Linked DNA regions of Macaca mulatta. Each later gene encodes a partner of the first gene's protein in a complex. Links are inferred from orthologs where the notes say so. Each region holds a gene or a part of one and is shown in the gene's direction. Other genes may lie near its edges.

Region 1 (7,972 bases):
CTTACAGGTACAGCAGACGGGCTCCTCTACTCCTCAGGTGAGCGGCTCACATGCTGGGGACAGAAAGGGGACTGCCAAGGATGTAGCATTTCCCTTGGGGCTCCTAGAGGCTCAAGGCCTCTCTGCACACACTTAAGCATGGTTCATGAGGCAGGGGAGGGGCCAGGGGTGAGGATACCCAGTCACAGGGCCCTCAGACCTTCGCCTGGTGTCCCCAGCTCCCACACAGCTTCCAGGAGACTCTTGGGGCTGGCTGTTGGTTCAGCAGTGATTTCTGGGGCACCAGCTCAGTGCCAGACCCTGGGGTTGCCCAGGTGTTCTGTCTCCTCCCTCCTTTCTGGCAGCAGGATGGTGTCTGCCCAAGGACAAGGACACTTTGTGCCACTAGGCTAGCTGGGCCTGGGCAGTGTTCTGCTCTGCAAGGACTGCTGCTTCAGGAGTATGTGGGGAACCAAGGCTCCAAATATACCAGGGTGAGGTCAGCAGGGTGGAGGTGAAGCCATGTGGCAAGCCCAGGGACTGAGTCGGTGCTGGAGTGCCTGGGCCAGGGTGTGGTTGGCCTTGCTATCTGTCTGGGACTGGCCTCCTAATGGCGCAGTCCTCCCCTGCACTGATCCCTGCCCATTGCATGAGGAGTGCGGACAGGACTGCATCTCCTCTCTCATCACCCACCCACCCCCACCATGATGCAGCTTGAAGCAGGGTTTTCAGGGTCATTTGGAGCCCTGAATGAGAACATTGCAAGGCAAGGCCGTTGTTGCCAAGGAGCAAATGGGCCCATTGGCAGAGGGGCAGCTTTGTGGGAGCTCTGCAGGGACTGCTGTCGTGGCTCTGTGGTCACTCTGCAACTTTACACCCAGAGGAGACAACACAGGGGAAGGGAGGGAGGGGCAGTGGCTGCCTTGCCCTGGAAGTGGGGCAGAAGAGTAGAAAAGCCAGAATCCATGAGGCCAGCAGAATTAACAGCCCTCAAGGACGTCCACATTCTAGTCCTGGAGCCCAGGCATGTGGTACTGAACATGACAGATGTGACTAAGGGAACAGTCTGGAGATGGGGGGGATGATCCGAGATCATCTGAGCAGGCCCTGCCTAGTCAGGGAGTCCTTAGAGATGGCACCTATCTTGGCTGGGTCAGAGAGATGCCGGGCGAGAACTCGGCCTGTAGCTGGCATAAGGGGAGGGGCTGTGAGCTGGATGCAGTGCCCTCCAGAAGCTGGGAATGGCTTCGGATGACAACCAGCAAGAAAATGGGCCTCATTCCTGCAGTGTAAAGAGCTGAACTCAGCCAGACGCCGTGGCTCACGCCTGTAATCCCAGCACTTTGGGAGGCCGAGGAGGGTGGACCACCTGAGGTCAGGAGTTCCAGACCAGCCTTCAACATGGTGAAAGCCCCATCCCTACTAAAAAAATACAAAAATTAGCTGGGCGTGGTAGCGGGTGCCTATAATCCCAGCTATTCGGGAGGCTGAGGCAGGAGAATTGCTTGAACCCAGGAGGCGGAGGTTGCAGTGAGCTGAGATCATGCCATTGCACTCCAGCCTGGGCGACAAGAGGAAAACTTCGTCTCAAAAAAATAAGTAAGAGCTGAACTCTGCTAACACCTGAAGGAGCAGGAAATGGATCCTCCAGAGAGGATCCCAGCCCAGTGAGACCGAGACCTGACTTCTGAGCCCTAGAGCCTGAGATGATAAATGTGTGCTGTGTAAGATGCTGAGTTTACAATCACGTGTTATGGAAACTCATGCCACGCAGTCTTGGCAAGGATGTGGCCTGGTGGGAATGGAATGGAGCAGCCTCCCTGGGGGCGAGGTGACCACCCTGCATGGATGTGAAGCCCCGGCTCACCCGCGGCTGTCTGTGCATTAGCCCAGAGTCAAGTCTGTCACTGCCGTCAGTTGCAGCCTTGTTTTGTAATGGCGAACAGAAAGTGCCTAAGTGTCCCACAACATTCAAGTCGGGCCTTCCCCACTCTGGAAGGGATGGTGAGCCAAATGAGGGGCTCTGTTTGAGGCTGGACATTGCTGATGTTAAGTCAGAAAAGGCAAGAACCACGGTCAGTTTGGTTTTGAAATATGTGACAAGTGTAGATGTATACGCCTGCATACACAAGGGATATTTTTGGAAAAAAATGCAAGGTAATGCTACAGTGGCTGGGTCAGAGATGCCCATTTCCTTGTGTGCCCTTTTACGCTGTTTTAATTTGTATCATGTGCCTGCTTAACTCCTTTATCATGTTGGGGTGGGGGTGGGGGGGAGTTGTGTAATCTACTCACTGTGGTTTCCTCAGGGCCCCTGGGTTCCCGCCTGCCAGCCAGCCCACCAGAAACCTGTAGCTGCTGGAGGTGGCGGTTGAGCGGTAGGAATTCTTGTTGTAACAATTAAAGGAGTTAGTAATGTGTGGGAAGTGCTTAGAACAAGGTGTGGCTCCTAGCAAGATCCTAAAAGGGTGGGATTACTCGGTCATAGGATGTGTTCATGTTTCACTCTGCCAGACAAAGTCCAGCCGTTCCCAAAGTCGGCTGTACCCCCAGAAGTACCTAGTATTGTCAGTGGGGTGCGTGTATCATATATCCATTTGTGGGTTCAGTTTGAGTTTTCCTAATTATTGATAAAGCTGAGAAGCTGAGCATTAGCGCTGACATTTCATTGCACAGTGCCTGTTCCTGTCTTGTAGCCACTGTGCGCTGGGTTCCTGGTCAGCTGCACTGCTGCACAGGCATTCTCTGTGTGTTCCAGATACAGCTCCTTGGGGCTTGTGGTCTATGCCTTCTCCCACTTTGTGACTTTCTGCTCTCTTTATGGTGTCTTTGGATTCAAATCGACTGGTTTATTATGTATTGAATTTTTTTTTTTTTTAACGGAGTCTCGCTCTGTCACCCAGGCTGGAGTGCAGTGGCGTGGTCTTGGCTCACTGCAACCTCTGCCTCCCGGGTTCAAGCAGTTCTCATGCCTCAGCCTCCCGAGTAGCTGGGACTACAGGCGCATGCCAGCACACCCAGCTAATTTTTTTATTTTTAGTACAGATGGGGTTTCACTGTGTTCGCCAGGCTGGTCTCAAAACTCCTGATCTCGTGATCCGCCCTCATCGGCCTCCCAAAGTGCTGGGATTACAGGCGTGAGCCACCCGCGCCCAGCCTATGTATTGATCTTTTAAGCTTTGTGGATTTTATTCGATGAATTCTTCAGTGTCTCCTCTCCCACTCCCATCAGATGGCAGAGTAGAGGTCATTTTAAGTATCAGGAGCAGCTCTTGTTTCACAAGCATCCTGGGTTTCAGCAGGTGGGTGGATATGTACCATGTACACTGGAGGGTTTGGAGCAGACCGCACACCACACACTGGAGGAGGTCGGACAGCGGGTGAGGATGAGCACTGGGCGCCAGGTTGGCCTGGGGAGCAGGTAGGAGACTACATGGAGTGGGGGCTTCAGTGCTGCCAGCTCCTCTTGCTCTGGGGTTGGGGAGAGACTGGAGCAGGCTGGGGTAGGGTGTCCCTGCCTCCCAGGGGAGAAGGGCAGGAACCTGACAAATGGCTTTTTCTTTATTTCCACAGATCCGGAACATGGTGGCGGTGCTGGAAGTCATCTCCAGCCTGGAGAAATACCCCATTACCAAAGAGGCACTTGAGGTGAGTATCCCAGACCCCAGCATTTGGGAGTGCAGAATGGGGGACAGGGGACGGCACCAACCCAGTTCCTTCCCCAGCTTCTAGGAGCGTGTGTCTTTGCTTCAGAGGACCAAGAGAGGCGGTGTGCCCTCACAGCTTGTGCCCCGTGATCTTGCTCTCCTGTGGCCACTGCAGTGACCAAGTGGCATTAATCCCATCCTACCTGCCCAGCACACTTCATGGGCACGTGGGCACGTGGGGACATGGGGACATCAGGAGAGGTGTGCTTGGGGGAGGCTCCAATGAGAGGCGCCGTCCCCAACCCTCCACTTGAAGCAGACCCTCTGTGCTGCCGCCTTGGCCACAGCACCCTCTCATCCAGAAAGCCTCCCTGGCAGTGTCCTTACAGTGGCCTTGACAGCCCCCTGGCACCAGGAGCCTGCGGGACAGCACTGCTGAGAAGCCACCTGGGACTCTGAAGGTCTGGGGACTAGGTTTGAGAATTTATATTGTCACAAAGGACCGGAAATCCCCAGGAGTTTTGTGCCAGGGAGGCTGGCAGTTTAGGGCTCAGTGGGAACCAGGTCATTTCATTGTCAGGGCCATTTCCCACCATTTCTGGCTCAGCTCATGGGGAAGTCCCTGTCCCGAAAGTATGTCATCATCTCTCTTTCTGGTTGTAGGAAACACGACTTGGGAAGCTCATCAACGACGTCCGCAAGAAAACCAAGAACGAGGAGCTCGCCAAGCGGGCCAAGAAGCTGCTGCGGAGCTGGCAGAAGCTCATCGAGCCAGCGCACCAGCATGAGGCAGCGCTGCGGGGGCTGGCGGGGGCCACTGGCTCTGCCAACGGGGGTGCACACAACTGCCGGCCGGAGGTGGGGGCGGCTGGCCCGCCCAGGAGCATCCATGACCTGAAGAGCCGCAATGACCTCCAGAGGCTGCCCGGGCAGCGGCTGGACAGGCTGGGCAGCCGCAAGCGCAGGGGTGACCAGCGTGACCTCGGCCACCCAGGGCCACCACCTAAGGTCTCCAAAGCTAGCCACGACCCCCTGGTCCCCAACTCATCCCCCCTCCCTACCAATGGCATCAGTGGGAGTCCAGAGAGCTTCCCTGGCTCCCTGGATGGCAGTGGGCATGCAGGCCCAGAGGGCGGCCGCCTGGAGCGTGGCGAGAACGACAAGCACAGTGGCAAGATCCCCATCAACGCTGTGCGGCCGCACACCAGCTCCCCAGGCCTGGGCAAGCCCCCTGGACCCTGCTTGCAGCCAAAGGCTTCGGTGCTGCAGCAGTTGGACAGGGTGGATGAGACTCCGGGGCCTCCCCACCCCAAGGGGCCCCCTCGCTGCTCTTTCAGTCCTCGGAACTCACGGCATGAGGGCTCCTTTGCCCGGCAGCAGAGCTTGTATGCACCCAAGGGCTCCGTGCCCAGCCCCTCACCGCGGCCCCAGGCGCTCGATGCCACACAGGTGCCGTCACCGCTTCCACTGGCACAGCCGTCCACACCCCCTGTACGGCGGCTTGAGCTGCTGCCCAGTGCGGAAAGCCCAGTGCGCTGGCTTGAGCAGCCGGAAAGCCACCAGCGGCTGGCGGGGCCGGGCTGCAAGGCAGGGCTGTCCCCAGCCGAGCCCCTCCTGTCCCGGGCGGGCTTCTCCCCAGACTCCTCCAAGGCGGACAGTGACGCTGCCTCCTCAGGGGGCTCGGACAGTAAAAAGAAGAAGAGGTACCGGCCTCGAGATTACACGGTTAACTTGGACGGGCAGGTGGCTGAGGCGGGCGTCAAGCCTGTCCGGTTAAAAGAGCGGAAGCTCACCTTTGACCCCATGACAAGACAGATCAAACCTCTGACCCAGAAAGAGCCAGTGCGGGCAGACAGCCCTGTGCACATGGAGCAGCAGTCCAGGACAGAGCTGGACAAGCAGGAGGCCAAGGCCAGCCTCCAGAGCCCCTTTGAACAGACGAACTGGAAGGAGCTGTCACGCAACGAGATCATCCAGTCCTACCTGAGCCGGCAGAGCAGCCTGCTCTCATCGTCGGGCGCGCAGACCCCGGGGGCTCACCACTTCATGTCTGAGTACCTGAAGCAGGAGGAGAGCACCCGGCAAGGGGCCAGGCAGCTGCACGTGCTGGTGCCTCAAAGCCCGCCCACAGACCTCCCCGGGCTGACCCGGGATATCACACAGGACGATCTCGACAGAATCCAGGCCAGCCAGTGGCCGGGGGTGAACGGGTGTCAGGACACACAGGGTAACTGGTATGACTGGACGCAGTGCATATCACTTGATCCGCACGGCGATGACGGGCGCTTGAACATTCTGCCTTATGTCTGTTTGGACTGACCGGCCCGTCAGCCACGAAGTGCATTCCCATCTTGCAGAAGCCGGGCGGGCGGGCAGGCAGGTGGGTGGGTGGCCGGGGCCCAGCTGCCTCCTGCACTGGGAACTCGGGGAGTCCGGCCCGGGCAGGAGGGAGGGGGCGGGAGTCACGCGGTCTCTCTGCACTCTTCCCTCAAAACTCTCCTTTTGTGAAATGCTGCTACCAGTTTACTAACAAAATTGCGAAGGAAGGACCGCGTGGAAGGAAGGACGGCAAAGTGAGTTCAGAACTCTATAGCAAACCAGCTATAAAAAGCGTTAGTCCCTCACCCCTGAAGAGGTGCGGACACTTTCCAGCACCTGAAAGCTGGGACCTCAGTTGCAGGCAGGCACAGAAAACCTGTGGAGAGGTTACCTTTAACACAGCAACAGAAGCACGCATCTCATCTCTCTTGCATTTTCTGTTCTTTAATTTGGCCCTGAGTGTCTGTGAGACAGTGGGCCATGCTGCCTCTGTTTGCTCCCTACCCAGCCACTGTCAGGTCAGTGTTGTCCGTCATGTGCCAGAAGCTTCTCAGCTGTGGTGAGCCACTGGCATCGGGCAGGCGGGCCAGCTGGCCAGCCAGGGTGACCCACACTCCATGGGCAGCCACCTGTTTATATCTGGTTTCAGTTATAACCCCGTTTTTAAAGAAATGCTGCAAAAATTTAAGTTTTTTCATGTTTATTTTAACAACTCCTTCCATCAGACCACCAGACAAAAAAAAAACCTTTCCTTTCTTCCTCCCTTTCTTTTTTCCCTTCCTGTACACATCTAGAAAACTTCACCTTTCTAGAGTCCTCCCAAAACAACACAAAAGTGACTGTGGGTGCTACTGGTTTTATGCTGTACTGTGGGGCGAGGGGGAGACCTGTCTGTACGCTGGAAACACTCATAACCATTCCTTTAGATTCGTTTGCCTTATGGTTATTTGTCATAAACGCGATTTGCAAAAACAAGGAGCCTTAGTGAATGTACAGTACCTAGACTTCTGTGTTCTCAGGACGCAGAAGGGAGCAACTTTGCTATTTGGTCCAGTAAGTGGACACCTTGTGATATAAATGTGGAAATAAAAAAAAAAAAAACCATTTGCACAAACCAGTCTGAGAATCTTTTCTCATTTGGACCTTCACAGCCAAATCAGCCCTTTCCTGGATTGTAGATTAGCCAGAAAAACCTAGACCCCAACAGCCGCAATGCAGGGAGACAGGACAGGGCACTGTGCTTTGAAGTCCACCTGCTAGCCTGCTGCTGCATTTGGGAGGACCTTCACATTTTATTCATTCAGGGCCACATTAAGGAACGTTATCTTGTCTCACCCAGACTTTACCTGGCCTAGAGAGCAGCCCTCCGTAGGAGGCTCCATAGCATAGGTCTCAGTGACTACCCCCACCTTAACAAAATACCAGAGACTTAGAGCTGTGTGTGTGTGTGTGTGTGTGTGTGGCAGCCCACCCTGTGGCCCTGGCCCCCGGCTGCCTTACTAGCTGGTGGTTGCTGACTCCAAAAAAAATAGTTCTCCCTTGACTATAAAGTGATCATCTTTTAAGTTCCCCCTCTTCCCTGAAACTGTAGGCTAAGACTTTGGTTTTCTAGTTTTTCACTTTGGAATAGGTCATCTTATCCGTATCTGCTTAATTTCACAAATGAAGAAACAGCTACACCTTAAGACATGCAATCTCACAGAGCAAACCAAGGGTTCCTTCCAGCCTGTAAGACTACAGTCAGTCCAGAGCCAGTTTCAGAGCTAGCAGGGATTCCTGGCAAAAGCTTGGTGCAGAATACACTCCCCTCCCCAACAAAAGGCCATGGGCGAAGTGGCTTTGAGGGCAGGATGAGGTTGAACCCAGGCCTGCCACCCACCAGCTGTGTGGCTCTGAGCTCATCTCTTCACTCCTGTGCACATGTCCCCATTTGGGGGGTGAAAATACCTACCCCAGAGTTTTGAAAACTAAAACACACAGCATGTCAGTGGAAGTATCTGACACTCAGCTGTGCTGTAGGGTGCCTA
Region 2 (7,978 bases), on another chromosome or scaffold:
GGTCTAGCCTATTGCTCCTAGGCTACAAACCTGTACGGCATGTTACTGTACTGAATACTGTAGGCAGTCGTAACATAATGGTGTTTGTGTATCTAAACACATCTAAACTTAGAAAAAGTACAGTATAAATATGGTATTATAATCTTATGGGACCATTGTCATATATGTGGTCCATTGTTGCCCAAAATGCAATACATGACTGTATTTAAAAGCTGGTCTTCTCTATTCTGTAAACTGTCTAAGTCCTTTGTTCATGTTTCTATTAGATTTTGCTCTGAAAGATTTATCATTATTATTTGATTTTTCGAGACAGGGTCTCTGTCACACAGGCTGAAGTGCAGTGGCAAGATCATGGCTCACTGCAGCCTCAAATTCCTAGGCTCAAGCGATCCTCCTATTTCAGCTTCCCGGGTAGCTGGGACTACAGGTGTGCACCCGGCTAATTTTTTGTATCTTTTGTAGAGACGAGAGTTTGTCATGTTGCCCTGGCTGGTCTTGAACTCCTGGACTCAAGCCATCCACTGGCCTTGGCCTCCCAAAGTGCTGGGACTACAGGTGTGAGCCACTGCACCTGGCCTATTATTATTTTTACTTAAACCTAAACCTGCTGAAGAATGACAATTTGGTCACCAGGTGAGTAGGACAAAACCACCTTCACCTCTGATGTAAATATATGGAACCTGGATATGACGGGCATTATACCCCTGTATTGCTCAGGCCTAAGTAACAAGTATGTTAGTATGTTGACAGAGTGTTGTTGTTTTTTTTTTGAGATGGAGTCTCGCTCTGTCGCCCAGGCTGGAGTGCAGTGGCACAATCTCTGCTCACTGCAACCTCCACTTCCTTCCTGGGTTCAAACGATTCTCTTGTCTCAGTCTCCCAAGTAACTGGGACTACAGGCACACGCCACCACACCCGGCTAATATTTGTATTTTTAGTATTTTTAGTAGAGACAGGGTTTCACCATGTTGGCCAGGTTGGTCTCGAGCTCCTCACCTCAGGTGATCTGCCCACCTTGGCCTTCCAAAGTGCTGGGATTACAGGCGTGAACCACTGCACCCGACCATCAACAGTATCTTAACAGAAATTCTCAATATTGGCCTGAGGTTGTTGGGCCAGCAATCAGGATCAATTTTTGACAGGTTAGGAAATGAAGCTCAAAGACTTAAACTATGTTGGTCAAAGTAATGCAATTAGAGTGATGGCAAAGCCAGCCAGAGGCATCTTTCTAAGGAGCCTCCTGAATTTACGGTCAGGCTCTGGAGTCAGATGGACCTGGGTTTGAGCCATGCACTGAGAGACTGGAAATGTCACTGCACACCTCTGAGCTTTACCTAATTACAGCCTAAGAATAATAACAGTATCTACTTTAGGTGGTGGTTCTGCTGATTATGTGAAATAATGTAGGTAAGGACATTCATTGTAACAATACGTTGCATGATAATACACATTATAACATGTTGCTCATGAGTCTTTAGCAGAGAGAGAAGCAAACTCCCTTGTGTCTCTTCCTATAAGGGCACTAATTCCATCATGGGGGCTCCACCCTTATGCTAATTACCTCCCAAGGGCCAGCAATCAGGATCAATTTTTGTGGTAGTTCCAGAGCTAAGTTCACGTGTCTAAGACTTCTCTCCTTTTATTATGCACTCTCATCTCTTCCCTGCTTTCCACTCTTCCCCTATTTGTTTTTTTTTTTTGAGACAGGGCCTCTCTCACTCAGGCTGGAGTGCGGTGATGCGATCTCGGGGCTCACTGGGCTCACTGCAGCCACCGCCTTCAGGGCTCAAGTCATCCTCCCACCTCAGCCTCTGGAGTAGCTAAGGCTACAGGCACATGCCACTATGCCTGTCTAATTTTTGTTTTTTGTTTTTTTTGTTTTTGTCGCAACGGGGGTCTTGCTACATTGCTCAGGTTGGTGTTAAACCTCGGCTAGGATTACCGGCGTGAGCCACTATGCTAGCCATCGACTCTTCCTCTTTTAGTTTAATCTGCCTGAAACAGCTAGCTGTTCCATGTTTGGAGGCTTATTAGTGAAGACATTGTTTTCTCCTCACCACCTTTTTGGGGATCCGTTTCTTGAGGACTGGGAGAGCCTCTCTTCACAGCAGCACTCCTCCGGACACCCAGGTCATATACTCTCGGGAAATGTTGGTTATTGAATGAATAACGCCAAGAGGAAGGGTCTGCTCCCAACACGGCCTTAGCACAGTGCCTGGAAGTTGTAATAGATTCTGGCACATAGTAGGAGCTCAGGAAACATTTATATAATGAATGAATGAATGAGTGCACACAGTAACTAGGAGAAAGGGCTCAATACACATTTCTGTATTAAACGCACAGTGCCTGGAACACAGTAAGCGCTCCCTCTGTGGCAGCCGTGAATATCCCTGGGCAAAGACTGTGAAACCTAGTCCAAGAGCTTGGCTTCACTGTGCGCGGGTTCGAATCTGGACTCCTCTTCCCAGGTGTGCGACCTCGGGCAAGTGACTTAATCCCTTTGTGCTTCAGTTTTTTTTCTCTGTAAAAGGCGGACGGCGGCGCGAGCCTCCGAAGACACACACTTCCCAGAGCACTCGGACCCGCTGCCTGGTCCACAGCGCGGCCGCCGCGCCACGCCAGCCGGCCTGGGCTGCGGGGACACAGGCCGGGGGCCCCGCGCCCGCTTCCGCGGCCGCCACGGGCGCGACCCGGACCCACGGTCCCGCCCCGGACCCACGGTCCCGCCCCGCCACGATCAGTGCACCGCGAGGGGGCGGGGCGGCCACGAGGGGCAGCCCACGGCAGCCACGGGCCGGCAGTCCGCCGCCCGCCGGGGAGCCCGGCCGCCTGCACTTCTTTCTCTCCCTCTCCGCCTCCCTCCCTCCCTCTTCCCGGCCCGAGGACCCGGCCGCGCTCGGCTCAGCAGCGCCTCCCGCGAGCCGCCGCCGCCGCCGCCACTCCGGACCCCTCCCCCGCCCGCCCCCTGCTCCCCCCGCGCGGCCGGCGCCCGTCACGTGACCCGGCACCAGCCAATGGCGGGCCGAGCCGCGGTCGGCGGCCGCCATTGCTGTCAGAGCAAGCGAGCCCGGGGAGGGAGGAGAAGCGAGGCTGACTGGGGAGGAGGGGGGGGTGGGGGAGGAAGAGGAAGGAGGGGACGTCGCTCGGCTGCCGGGGTCGCCCGCTGGCTTCGTCCGCACCCCCCCCTTCGCGAGTTCGCGCTCCGCGGCGGCGGCGGCTCCGAGGCGGCGGCGGCGGCTCCGGGGCTCGCCTCCCCTCGCGCGCCGGCGGGGGCCGAGGGGGAGTCGGTGGCTGGAGATAAACAAGGCGGCGGCAGCGGCGGCGGCGGCTGAGGAGCAGGGAAGGCGGAGGCGGCGGCCGGCCCGCAGCGCCGGCCCGGGAGGCAGCGGCGGCCCTGAGAGGCGGGGTGGGCGCCGGGCCGCACGGACAGCGCCCCCCGCCGCCGCCGAAGCCGCCGCAGCCGCCGCCGCCGCCCGAGCAGGAAGGAGCCGCGCGGCCGCCGCGGACCCCCCCGCCAGCCCGGGCCCGCCGCCCCCGGCGCGGCGTCGCCGCGGCGCCTCCCGCCTGCCCGCCGGCCCTCGCGCCCTCCCCCGGCGGCGGCGGCGGCCCGGCCGCCCCGCGCTCCCCGGCGAGGCGCCGCCGCCCGGCCCGGCCTCGCCTCGGACGCCTCGCTCCGACATGCCCCGCTCTGGCGGCCGGGCTCGCGGAGGATCATGACTGCGGCAGCGAACTGGGTGGCGAACGGGGCGAGCCTGGAGGATTGTCACTCCAACCTCTTTTCGCTGGTGAGTAGCCGGGCTGCGGGGAGGGGGCTGTGTCGGGGAGGGGGGGCTCCCCGACCTCCGCCGCCGACCAACTTTCTCCTCCCGCCGCCGGGACTTCGCCCCTCCCTCGCGTCTCCCCGCCGTTCGCCTCTCGCCGATTCTCCCCCTTTTGGATCGTCTCTTTCTCGCCTTGGATCCCATCCAGTGTTTATTTGGCTCTTTAAAAATCATTTGTGAGCGCGGCGCTCGGCGTGGAATTTGCATGTGGAAGTCTCGGAGCTGCGGATTCTGGGTCGCACTTCGAACGCCCACCCTCTGTTGCAATTGCACTCCCCTTCTCCTCCCCTTTCCCCCCTTTTTTTCCCCCCTAAATGTGGAAGGCTTTGCCTTGTGCTGCCCGCGCCTCCGATCGGCAACCTCTTCCCCGTTGTCGGATCGGCTGCCTGCCCGCCCGCCCGCCCGCCTGCCTTTTGAATTTTTTTAAATTCCATAATGACACCTGCAATTTCGCCCGAAAACAGTTGATTGAATGCGATTGTGTCAGGAAAGGACTCTTGCACCCGAAGCTCCCGCGATTGTAAACATCGACAGCCGCTTGCCTCTCGGGGCTTACTACGCTGGAGAGCCGTAAAGCCATTGCACCGAGCCGACGGAAGGTGGAGAAAGCTTTTTTTTCTTTCTCTCCTTCTGTGTCTTTTAAAAACTGTTTTATCTGTCCTAACAACGAATCCACACACACACACACACACAAAAGCAACAAGCTGGGCGGTTTGATAACATCGCTTTTATCTGCTTTCGCCTCTCTCGCGCTCTCTCTCTGATAATTGACAACTTTTCCTTCGGATTTGAATCGCCTGCCTTAATCTTGAAGCAGTTAGGGTGTCAATTGTTCTCGTGGAAGCCTGGCACCCGCCGACGGCGTCTAGATTCATCGAAATTAAAAATGTATAGGGCTCCAGCAACTCTTTCCTGGCGGTGGCAGTGACATTTGGTGGTAAATGCCATCTTTGCTTTTTATTGGGTCGTATTACCTACCTCTGAAAACATTCACGTTGTTAAACCTGGCGTTTAGGCTAATAATTGCAGTGCGTGGTCTTTAAATATGTGCTTTGTGCATGAGTTACTGTATGTATAGCTATGTGCCCAGGAGAGTACGAATTTGTTTAAATATTGAGCAAAGATTTGTAAACAGATATAAGGCAATTACGTTTCAAGCGTAGAATATAATTGGAAAATTGGCTGAACAGTTTATTTAATTTATCCTTAAAAACACCCAACTTAGTTGTGTACCCTGGTTTTTTTAGGGGGAGGTGAGTCCCTTTTGGAGAACATACATTTTGGAAATTATTTTCTGTAACCCCCGCTGTAGATAGAAGCATCATTTCCCTCTTAATCCTTGTTTACACTGGATAAATAATTTAGTGTTCAAATTGTAATTAGTTACATTTAATTATGGGTGGCCTAGATGCTTTTTTGCTATGAGACTAATGGAGAAATGCAAATTCTCGCCAACTTTTCAAATGAAAGTATTATGTTATTAAATGTGTTACAATGCAGACCAAAAAATCAACACACGCGATTTTTACCTACAAAGACCGAGTGACATAGTATCATTGATCCCACTCTAGTAAGATCAGGTAAATTTTTTTAAATGAAATATTTTAATCCAGATATTTCATCTTAAAATTCAGTTATAAGTTGGAATTCTTTCTCTTAGTATTTTGATAATTTTCCCTTGATTTTTTTGGTATGTGGGAGTAAAACCCCCTTTTGCCCCTTCTTTTTCCCTCCTCAGTCTTATCATTTGGTATCAGTCAGGTTCAGGGACTTTCACAGATTAGCAAACATATTGATCAAGGGGTACTTAAAATGGTTTTTGTGTGGTTACTGGTGATCACATTGACACAGGTAATTAAAATAACCAAATAGAGAGATCTCCCAAATTATCATATATTATGCTGACTGGTAATGATTGTGTATATACAGATTGTGTAGACGTATGAAAGTGTATGTATAGCCAGTCTTTTAGGGTATATCATTTCTTTTATCTTTTTTTTTTTTTTTTTTTAAAGCTTAAGTAAGAATGATAACGTTACAGAGATAACATGCTTGAGATTCTTTTGGAGAGGCAGTTTTGTAGGAGAGGATTCTGTACTTTGATTTTGACTGACTAAAGGTTTGTGTTTCAGATATTTCTCCCCTAAACCTCTTTAAACCAAAGGATTGATTTTTGAATATGCTTTTAAAAATAATTATTTTTTAAGTAGCAACTTTGAAATAGAGAACTGTAGTAATGCTTAGTTGATTTTTTTTTTTTTTTGAAAGGAATGTAGAATGTCTTCATTGTCTTGTACATGGAGTGTGGATAAGGTGCTATTAAAGAAATCTAAACTGCTGACTTGTACATTTTTCTGATTCCAAATTGATATTTTTTTTGAAAATGCTATACAGAAGCAGCAACCTGGAATATTAAAAGTATGTTGCCTAAAGTACATTGTATATAATAGTTATTTCTGAAGGAGATCTAATCCCTTGTTCAAAATAAAGCATATTTTTTATAAGAACGCTTTATGGTTTAATCATAGCTTGCATTTTTTTTCTTTTGGCCTGCAGATTTTTTTTTTCTTTTTTTTTTTAAAGCAGAGAAAAGTATTTATAAAGAATTTACCTAAATACTCTCATTACTTAGATTGAAATAAGAAATTAAAGTTCTGTACCATGGTAATAACACCCAGTTTCCATTACCTTGAGGTGTTCATTATGGCTTACCAAAAGTTGATTGCGCAGTCAATCAGACACCTTAAGATTTCTGCTAGTCTTTTACTTAATTTTCTGATTTTTTATTGCATGGAATCAAATTTCCTAAATTAATTTTTCAACATCCATTCCCTTTTCCTAACGTGTGAAAAATGCCCTTGTGTATATACGATATGGGTGATTGTATGTGTTTCTTATTCTAACCGTGAGATTTGTAGCTGCTGCATTAAGTGCATGCCTGGCTCTGCCTGTCTGACGCAAAACTATTCTCTTATGCTGTCCATCACATTTCTGGGTGACTTTTCATATATTCACTCAGTTAATCGTTCAAAGTGTGTTAAATCTGCCTTTTTGAAAAGTGTAACGGGGCATCCTGTGGTATGTGAACTCATTCTTGCGAGAAGACCTGGTTTCTGGATGTTAAGTATGTATTTTTCTCTATTGAGTTAATACGGAGAAAGTGATTTTGTGCCCTTTAACTAGACTTAAGTATGTGTTCTTTGATACGAGGGAGTGATCTCTAATTCTTAGATATGTATCCTCCACTTTCATGTCTTATTTGCTTAGAATCTTCCTGACTATGGATAATTGGGTGATAATCTCAAATTCTTGCTGGATTGAGACACTCGTACACCCATTAGTCCGTAATTCCTATTGAAGACTATTAATTCTATATTTGAAGCTTTTAAGGTAATCTATTGTTGACCTAATTTCTTTTTGTCTTAAGCGTTTTTTTTTTTTTTTTTTCCCCAGAAAGGGAAGACAGTTGCAAATGTAGAAACTTCGAAATCTGTATTTTTTTTTTTTTGAGCTAGAATAGGGTGGACTATAAAAGGCAAACTAGGAAAAGGGAATGGTTTCTCTAATTTTCAAAGTGCTAAAATACACAAGGTATTTTTTTGTACAAGTTCATTGTGATTTTATAATTTATGTTTAAAGCATTTTTTTCCTATGATGGTTCATTTTCTTTCCTTTTATTTTTTATTTTTTCGAGATGGAGTTTCTCCTTGTTGCTCAGGCTGGAGTGCAAAGGCGCGATCTCAGTTCACCGCAACTTCTGCCTCCCAGGTTCAAGCGATTCTCCTACCTCAGCCTCCCGAATACCTGGGATTATAGGCATGTGCTACCATGCCCGGCTAATTTTGTATTTTTAGTAGAGACGGGATTTCTCCATGTTGATCAGGCTGGTCTTGAACTCCCGACCTCAGGTGATCCACCCGCTTTAGCCTCCCAAAGTGCTGGGTTTACAGGCATGAGCCACTGCACCCAGCTGTCATTTTCTGTAATGAAAATATTTACAGTTTGTTAATGTATGTTTTTGGTTTAGCATTTTGTTGTTAGTAGCACATGGTGTTACAGTATTTATATATTTTTAATAGCAATAATTGCCACCCGGTAATAGTTGCCATATTAACCTCCAATTGCTAGTAAATATTTTTAAGTACATAATAGACAGC
Region 3 (8,200 bases), on another chromosome or scaffold:
AGGTAGCCGGAAATTTTATTAAGCGCTTTACTGTGTGCCACTTGCGTGTTTTCTGTCCAAATCAGAAAAGGATTTGGACAGAAAACAGGCAGGAAGAAGGAACCAACGCCTGGTACAGCAGGCAAGCGAGGCAGGGGTAGGACTTATGCACGTGTATGCAAGCCTGGATGGCTGGGAAGCCAACCTCCATGTAAAGGCAAGCGCGGTCACACAGATACACACACACGCCTCACAAGCTGGATTGCAAGAGAGGGTGAAGTGGGCGAGGAGACCCAGTCAGCCGTGGCATTTGAGGAAGGTACATTTAGGCCACCGAAATTCATTCCACCAACTTTGCACACTTGTCTTCCTTGTGCCACGCTCTGGGACTCATTCCTTTTGAGGGTAAAAGTCTCTGCCTCCCTGGGCTCCTGCCCCACAGGCGCTCCCACAGCCCGGCACCGCCCCCTCGCCATTCCGGAGCCAGCGCCAGCTGAGCGGGCCTGGCCGGAGCCACCGTCCCCTTACTTCTCCATGCCTCGGGACCCGGAGAGGGAGCCGTGGTTTCCGGAACTTCTCACACCCCTCCAGGCTTTTCCTCTGTTGGGCAGGTGACGAATCGGTGTCTTTGCTTGTTATGGCCCCTGCCATCGCCATGGAGACAGGTGAGTAGCGCTCTGAGCCTGGAGTCTCCGAAGACAGAGCTCTCCTTGTCACAGACCGCTTCTTCCGCTTCCCCGGGGCCTCCTTCCAGGCCTCACTCTCGGCAGGGTTAGTATTTGGACAGGGAGGAGAGAAGGCTCTTGTAGCATCTAGAAAGGCTAAGGTACTCTGCAGTTTTGCTAATTTGGTTTGTTCGCACATCTTTGCTATTCAAACACGACCCCACCAGCTTCCCAGCATGGGTGAGACTAAGGGAGAGGACTTGTGTCTTAAAGCATGTCCTCCTTGTGTCTTAAAGTGTGTCCTTGATTGGTTTTCTGCTTCTCATATGAGCTTGCATACGTTTGAAATATCGTCGCCAGACTTGTGTATCATTCTGCTACTTGTGCTTCTTACATATGATATGCTCCATCATCTTTTAGGCTCTTTGGAGTCTCTTGTTCAGTTTGCATCCTAAGTTTTTCTTAACTGACTCAGCAGGTAGCTTTTGCAAAACTTAATCACTGTTAACAATTGTTACAATGCATTATTAAAATAGGGGACGTCACAGTTATTACAGCCTACCTTAGTGATCACTGTTAAAATTCCTACACAGTGGCCCACAAGTGGTAGGTATTGTGTCCGATTTGTGCTGCTGTTTTCTTTAATGATTTCTCTTTACCTTTAAAGTCAACCCTCTTCCATGACTGTTTCTTAGGTCTCACTACAATCCTGCTATGTAGAAGTGGCATGCTGTCCTAATGGACCATGCTCTAGCTTTCCAAGCTGCTAGAACTGTGTTTCTCAGCCTCGGCACTATTGACATTTTGGGACCAGTGATTCTTCATTGTTGGCAGAGGGAAGGGTGTTGACCTGTGCACTGTAGGATATGAGGTGGCATCCCCAGCCTCTACCCACTAGGTGCCAGTAGCACCTAATGTGCTACCCACTCCCCCTAACTTGTCTACCAAACTAAAATGTCTCTAGAGGTTGCCATATATCCTCTGGGGTCAAAATCACACTTAGTTGAGGACCACTGTCCCACATAAAATGTAAATGGCATCATATCATTCCTCTGTTGAAAACCCTTCAATGTTTTCCTATTGACCTTAGAATAAATCTCAAATTCCTTTCTGTGGCTTAGAAGACCTTCTGTGGACTGGCCCCTGCTTGCTTCTAACTCCTCCCTTCAGTTCTGCTTCCATGTCTATATAATCGCCTCTCTCTCCCTCCAGCCACACTGGCCTTCTTTCTGTTCCTTGAACATTCAAAGCTTGTTCCCTTCTAGCTTTTGTATTTGCTGTTCTTCTGCCTAGAATGCACATGTTCCAGATCACTGTTCATTCACACATATCTCAGATTAAATGTTACCTAATCAGCAAGGACTTCCCCGACCATTTTATCAAAAGAAGCCTCTTACTTCCATTCTCTATCACATGACCCATATATTTCCTTCATAGTGCTAATCACAATAGAAAATTGTCTCGTTTTGTCATTGCTTGTCGGCCTTTTCACCAGAGTGTAAGCTCCACTACAGCTGGGACTTTGGTTTTTTTTACTGCTATAGCCCAAGTTCCCAGAATACAGGCAGTCCCCAACTTAAGATGGTTTGACTTATGATTTTTCGACTTTACAATGGTACAAAAGCGACCAGGAGAAATAGTACTTTGAGCACTCATACAACCATTGTTTTTCACTTTTAGTACAGTATGCAATAAATTACATGAGATATTCAACATTTTATTATAAAATGGGCTTTCTGTTAGATGATTTTGCTCAACGTTAGGTGTTCTGAGCATGTTTAAGGTAGGCTAGGCTAAGCTATGATGTTTAGTAGGTTAGGGATATTAAGTGCCTTTTCAAATTACCGTATTTTCAACTTACAATAGTTTTAATGGGAGGTAACCCCATTGTAAGTGGAGGAACATCTAGTACCTGGCACAGAGCAGGTTCTCAATAAATATGACTCTTCTCCATCTTCTTCAAACCTCAGACCAGGTTTCAATGGCCTCCTCTCACTTTCTCTTCTAAGATTATTTTTGCTTGCTGGTGGGTTTACTGTCATTTTTAACTACATCTAACCTACCTTTAAAAAGTGTATGGATGGGAGTGCCAGGTACAAAGACTTAGCATAAAGAAAACCACCAGTTACCTTGAAACATAAACAAAGGCCATTAATAATTTATGAGTCTGTTCCTTGCCCCTCAAGTTTCTAGCAGGCATGGAATCATTCCACAGGTCATGATTTCAGTTTGGTCTCTGTTCCTAAGGGGTGAAGGTCTTCTGAGGGCTGTGGATCCCAAACTCACCTGGCTCAGAGGCTCAAACAGCCTCTTTGTCCATCAAGCCAATTTAGACAGCATCCTGGGCATGAAAATCTTTTGTGCTGGCTTCAAGTGAAAATAGTTCACTGGGTCAAAAGTAGGCTGGTCCAAGACGCAGGATGGTCAATAAACGTTGGCTGTGTTCAGAAACTGCGGCTTGGCTGTTTCTTCCATTGATTTATGGTTTGTTTCCATGAAACCGAAAATGATTGGTCCACCTGGCAGCTGGCTGGCTGGCTGGCAACTGGAGGCCTTTCTGTCCTGGCTGAGGGCCCTGGCCCCTTGGTGGCCTTTGGGAAGCAGCATCTCATCGGGCCGGTTTTTCGTTCTGGCGGGCGGCCGGCTTGGCCCGCGGGGCTGGGCTCTCCGCGCAGTGCAGAGCCGTCTCCACCCTCAGGGACGAGGCCCTGATGTGGCGGGACGTCGTTTCCGTGCGCTGCGAGGAGGATTCCACGTGCCGGGAGGACGCCTCGAGGATGCCAGGGAGCCGCTTCCCCAAGGGGGAGAGGGAGGGCCCCTCGCTGCGGCGCTGGGAGGTCTCCACCCGCCGGGACGACGTCTCCACGCGGTGGGACGAGGTCTCCACACGGTGGGACGAGGTCTCCACGCGGACTGTGGACGTCTCTGTGTAGCGGGTGGTCCCCACCCGGGGAGAAGACTGCTTGGCCCCTCGGGCTGAGGCCATTCTGCCGGCGTGAGGGGGCCAAGGAGGCCTCGGGGCACCCCCCAGCCCAACGGTCACCGCAGGCAGAAGAGAGGAAAACTACGGTACTGCCATAGCCGGGAGCGCCACAACACGATGACGTGGAAACACCATGATCCTTCCAAGGCTAAAAACACTGGGCTCCTGCCCCTCAGGCGCTCCCACGGCCCGGGCCCCGCCCCCTCGCTATTTTGGAGCCAGCGCGGGTGGAGCCATCCCAGGGCTGGCGGGATGGGCGGAGCCGCCCGGCCCCATATCCCACAGTGCCCCGGGACCGGAAGAGAGAGCCGTGGTTTCCGGAACTTCCCCCGCCACTCTGGGCTTTTGCTCGGTCAGGCTGGTGGCGTTTTGGTGTCTTCGTTTGTTATGGCCGCTGCCGTCGCTATGGAGACAGGTGAGTAGCTCTCTGATCTTGGAGTCTTCGCAGATGGAACTCCCCTCGGTCCAGACGGCTTCCCCGTGGCCTCCTTCCAGGCCTTACTCTCGGCAGGGTTAATATTTGGACAAGGAGGTGAGAAGGCTCTTGTAGCGTCTAGAAAGACTAAGGTACTCTTTGCAGTTTTCCTAATTTGGTTTGTTCGCACATCTTTGCTATTCAGACACCACCCTACCAGCTCCCCGGCGTGGGTGAGACTAAGGGAGAGGACTTGTGTGTTAAACCGTCTCCTCCTTGATTGGTTTTCTGCTTCTCACATGAGCTTGCCTAAGTTTGAAATATCGTCGCCGGACTTTATGTGTCATTCTGCTACTGGTGCTTCTTATATGCATACGCTCCATGATCTTTTAGGCTCTGCGCAGTCTCTTGCATCCTAACTTTTTCTTAACTGATTCAGCACGTAGCTTTTGCAAAACTTAATCACTGTTAACAATTGTTATAACGCATTATTAACATAGGGGAAGCCATAGTTGTTACAGCCTACCTTAGTGATCTTAGGAATTCTCCGTTTGTGTTGCTGCTTTCTTTGATGATTTCTCTTTAATTTTAGAGAAACTTCTAACTCCTTTTAATCAGGGCTCCGCTTTTCTTAGATTTCGAAGAAAGGTTTATCTCCCCCAACTCCCAGTTTAGGAAGACCATCTCGGCATTAGTCAGGTTTCTTTATTGCTGTTTCCTTACTACAAATCAGTATTATATACAGTGACCCTTACTTTCCATGATTTTTGCTGTCTTGTCTCCTAGATGATGCTGGAAATCGACTTCGGTTTCAGTTGGAGTTGGAATTTGTGCAATGTTTAGCCAACCCAAATTACCTTAATTGTAAGTTGTTAAGCACCTCATTAAATTGAGTAGCTACTAATGATTTCTGACAGAAGAGTTGCAATTCAAAATAGTATCTACTTTTACACATTCTCAATTGAATGACATTACACTTATGCTGGTATATAGATATAATTGCGCACTGGGATTTGTGTTTTGAATTCAATGTGTGTTGGTGGTGGGGGTTTTATGTAAATAGATCCTTTACATTAGGGGTAACAAAGCATAGTTTAAAGATTGGTTTGACCTACAGACATTTTTTTTTTTTAATGCTTTTCAGTTCTTGCCCAAAGAGGTTACTTCAAAGACAAAGCTTTTGTTAATTATCTTAAATACTTGCTTTACTGGAAAGACCCAGAATATGCCAAGTATCTAAAGTAAGTTTAATTTTTATAATCCTAAGCATGTGTATACTTTATGATATGATAGATTTCTTCGTTTCACATTGGCAAAAATGTATTTGGAATCTCTCCACTTCTTTTCGTTGTCACCATCTTAACACAAGACACTCTCATCTCTAACTTGTATCACTGCAGTAATCTACTCCCTGGTTATCTCTGCTTCCACTTTTACCTTCCTGCCCCCCCCCCACCCCAAACCAAACCAAGCAAAACAGCTTTCTACACAGAAACCAACTTAGTCATTTAAAAATATAAATCAGAACACTTTACTTTCTTGCTTAGAACCTTTCCATGACTTTCCATACCATGCAGAATAAAATCCAGTCTCTTTTCTTGGGCTAAAGCCCTATATGATCTGGCCCTGCCTTGTCTGACCTTGTCTTTCACCACCCTCCCCATCTCACCAGGTTTCTGGTCCCGAAGAACTCACAGTCTGTAAATGAAGTGACATAAGCCATGGGCTGAAATTAAAAGAGGGTATCTGTAAGGAAGGTGTTTCTGGGGTTATTTGGAGGAGGTGATGTTAACCTGAGTCTTAGAGTTGCTATCTTTTATTTAAGGCCTCTTATGTGCCAGAAACAGTGCTAAATGCTTCATATGCATTAACTCATTTATATATATATATATATATATTTACCATTCAGGTCATTCAGCGACACTTTTGTGTTAAGGCTTACTGAATTGCAAGAAGCATATAACCACAAACCTATTCCCTTTTAATGATTAAAAAAAAAAAAAAAAAAACACCTTGAACTCATCCCTGCTTTGTCTTAAGCAGGTAGAAAGCAATAGTGAACCTTAAAAAAAAAAAAGTTTGAGAGGAAAATGTTTCAAACTTGTTTCGAAGTCACTTTTCTGTGTCCAATAACAATTGACTCACGAAGCATATACATCTTATATTGCCTTCAGGACCCTTTGCACCTTTTCTGGCTTTTTATCCATTTAATAATCCAAAGAAAAGACTTTTAAGAAAAATAGATTTCAACAAATGTTGTATGTATGTAGATTTACAGACTCAGTGTTGGAAGCCTTAGCCACCAACAAGTTTAATCTTACCCAAAACGTTGCCGAGAGATGGTCATCTACACTCTGGAGGTTTTCACTGAGCCCATGTTACTCTGTCAGGGACAGCTGATTTGATTGTTAGCCAGATGTTAGAAAGTTATTCCTTATATTGTGATATAATGTCTCTCCTTGTAGCTCTAGTCTGATTGTAGTGTTATCCTTCATCTATCTGCAGTCACATGAAGTCTATTTGTCCCACTACTGGTGACATTAATTTTGATAACTTGGTTGTCCCTGGATTGAGCTAGAACCATTCTATACCCTCTTGAGGACAACAACCTTCCAGATACTTACATTCAAGAGAGATTGCAGATTAGCCCCTTTTGGGCATTTTATTCAGTCTGCAGAAGATTTTAGTTTTTTTTTTTTTTTTAATACTTGCCAACATTTGAAGATCAGAAAGTTTTATATAACAAATGCAGATTTCCCGCTACTCTTTCAAATCTGGAAGATCTAGTAACCATAGATCTTAATTCTCCCAAGTCAACAACTGGCTGAAGCTGAGAGCAGCTGTCACTACTAGCTGCTTTCCAGCTGGTGGAAGGGACACTTTCTACCACTTGGCCTGCTTCGTTGGTAGCCAGTAGGTGTCACTATAACATCTCTCTCCATCTGTGTTTCTCAACTACCCTCAGCCGTTGTGCCGTGGTGTCCCGGAGTTCAGGTTCCCTCCGCTGGATGTTTGGCAGTGGTACTTTATGCAGTTCAGCCAGGAACTAAACACAGGCCTTCATGTGTGGTCAGAGTACAGTGGGCCAGAGGTCCTTTCTTTTCTTCACGTGGACATATACCTTATGTTACTTTTGAGGGTGGGGGTGGGAGAGGATCACATTGTTGACTTGCTGGGAGCATTACGTCAATTAAAATCCTTCAGTTATTTTCATCAATGTTCTCCCTATCTTGTTTATTTTTAAAAACACCGAATGTGGAACTTCCCTTTTATACTGCCGCTGTTTCATCTTGTGGACATGTAGCCTATCAGAGTACGATTCTTTACTGTCATCTAATGTATTCTGATGTAATCACTGCATGTCTGAATTCTAGTTACTGACTAAATGCTGCTTGAGACCATTCTCTTGGTTGTCACATTATTTTACAGTTGAAGAAACTGAACCTTAGGGAGGTTAAGTACCTTGTTGAAGGCCACCCGGCTGGAACTTACATCCTGGTTCATTTTAACTACTAATGCTGTCATGAAAGGGAGTTAGCCAGGGCAGGTGTGAATAGAGCATTCTAGCATAAGCAACCAACAATTAGAGCAACTGTGTATTTTCATTGCGTAGATAGCAAACCTTTAATGTCTTGGAAGTTACTATCTTAGAAGCATGTGTTAAGCCCTCTATTCAATGTGGTGTTCACATCATCAGCATTGGTTTCATTTGGGAGCTTTTTAGAAATGCAGAGCTCAGGCCCCACTCCAGGCCTAAGGAATCCATCAGCATTTTAAGAAGTGGTTCATATACACATTAAAGTTTTAGAATCATTGCTGTAGTATCCTATTTTCCACACTTGAGTCATTTGCATATCACTTGTGCAACTTTGGCTTTATCTGCTTTCTTCCTGAAGGGGGCCTGCCTCCCCACACCTGTGGTATTTCTCGTCAGGCGGAGACCAAAGACTGAGAAAAGAAATAAGACACAGAGACAAAGTATAGAGAAAGAACAGTGAGCCCAGGGGAACAGCACACTCAGCATGCGAGGACCTGCACCGGCGCCGGTCTCTGAGTTCCCTCAGTATTTATTGATCATTATTTTTACTATCTTGGTGAGGCGAGTGTAGCAGGGCAACAGGTAGGGAGAAGGTCAGCAGGGAAACATGTGAGCAAAGG

The links.
Region 2: MED26 (region 1) and MED13L share a complex: the UniProt entries of both Homo sapiens proteins name them as parts of the mediator complex. The link is inferred for Macaca mulatta from reciprocal best matches to the Homo sapiens genes MED26 and MED13L.
Region 3: MED26 (region 1) and MED31 share a complex: the UniProt entries of both Homo sapiens proteins name them as parts of the mediator complex. The link is inferred for Macaca mulatta from reciprocal best matches to the Homo sapiens genes MED26 and MED31.

What each region holds. Positions count from the first base shown.
Region 1 is NC_133424.1:17,070,906-17,078,877, reverse strand, and holds MED26 (mediator of RNA polymerase II transcription subunit 26), read left to right. Parts: upstream 1-3,216; 5' UTR 3,217-3,298; coding exon 3,299-3,400; intron 3,401-3,552; coding exon 3,553-3,627; intron 3,628-4,289; coding exon 4,290-5,945; 3' UTR 5,946-7,059; downstream 7,060-7,972. UniProt on the Homo sapiens protein: Component of the Mediator complex, a coactivator involved in the regulated transcription of nearly all RNA polymerase II-dependent genes.
Region 2 is NC_133416.1:123,524,616-123,532,593, reverse strand, and holds the start of MED13L (mediator of RNA polymerase II transcription subunit 13-like), read left to right. Parts: upstream 1-3,692; 5' UTR 3,693-3,713; coding exon 3,714-3,785; intron 3,786-7,978. UniProt on the Homo sapiens protein: Component of the Mediator complex, a coactivator involved in the regulated transcription of nearly all RNA polymerase II-dependent genes.
Region 3 is NC_133421.1:8,130,339-8,138,538, reverse strand, and holds the start of MED31 (mediator of RNA polymerase II transcription subunit 31), read left to right. Parts: upstream 1-3,914; 5' UTR 3,915-4,014; coding exon 4,015-4,042; intron 4,043-4,828; coding exon 4,829-4,906; intron 4,907-5,186; coding exon 5,187-5,283; intron 5,284-8,023; exon of another isoform or gene 8,024-8,200. Other genes in the region: C16H17orf100 (uncharacterized protein C17orf100 homolog), read right to left, coding at 3,253-3,630. UniProt on the Homo sapiens protein: Component of the Mediator complex, a coactivator involved in the regulated transcription of nearly all RNA polymerase II-dependent genes.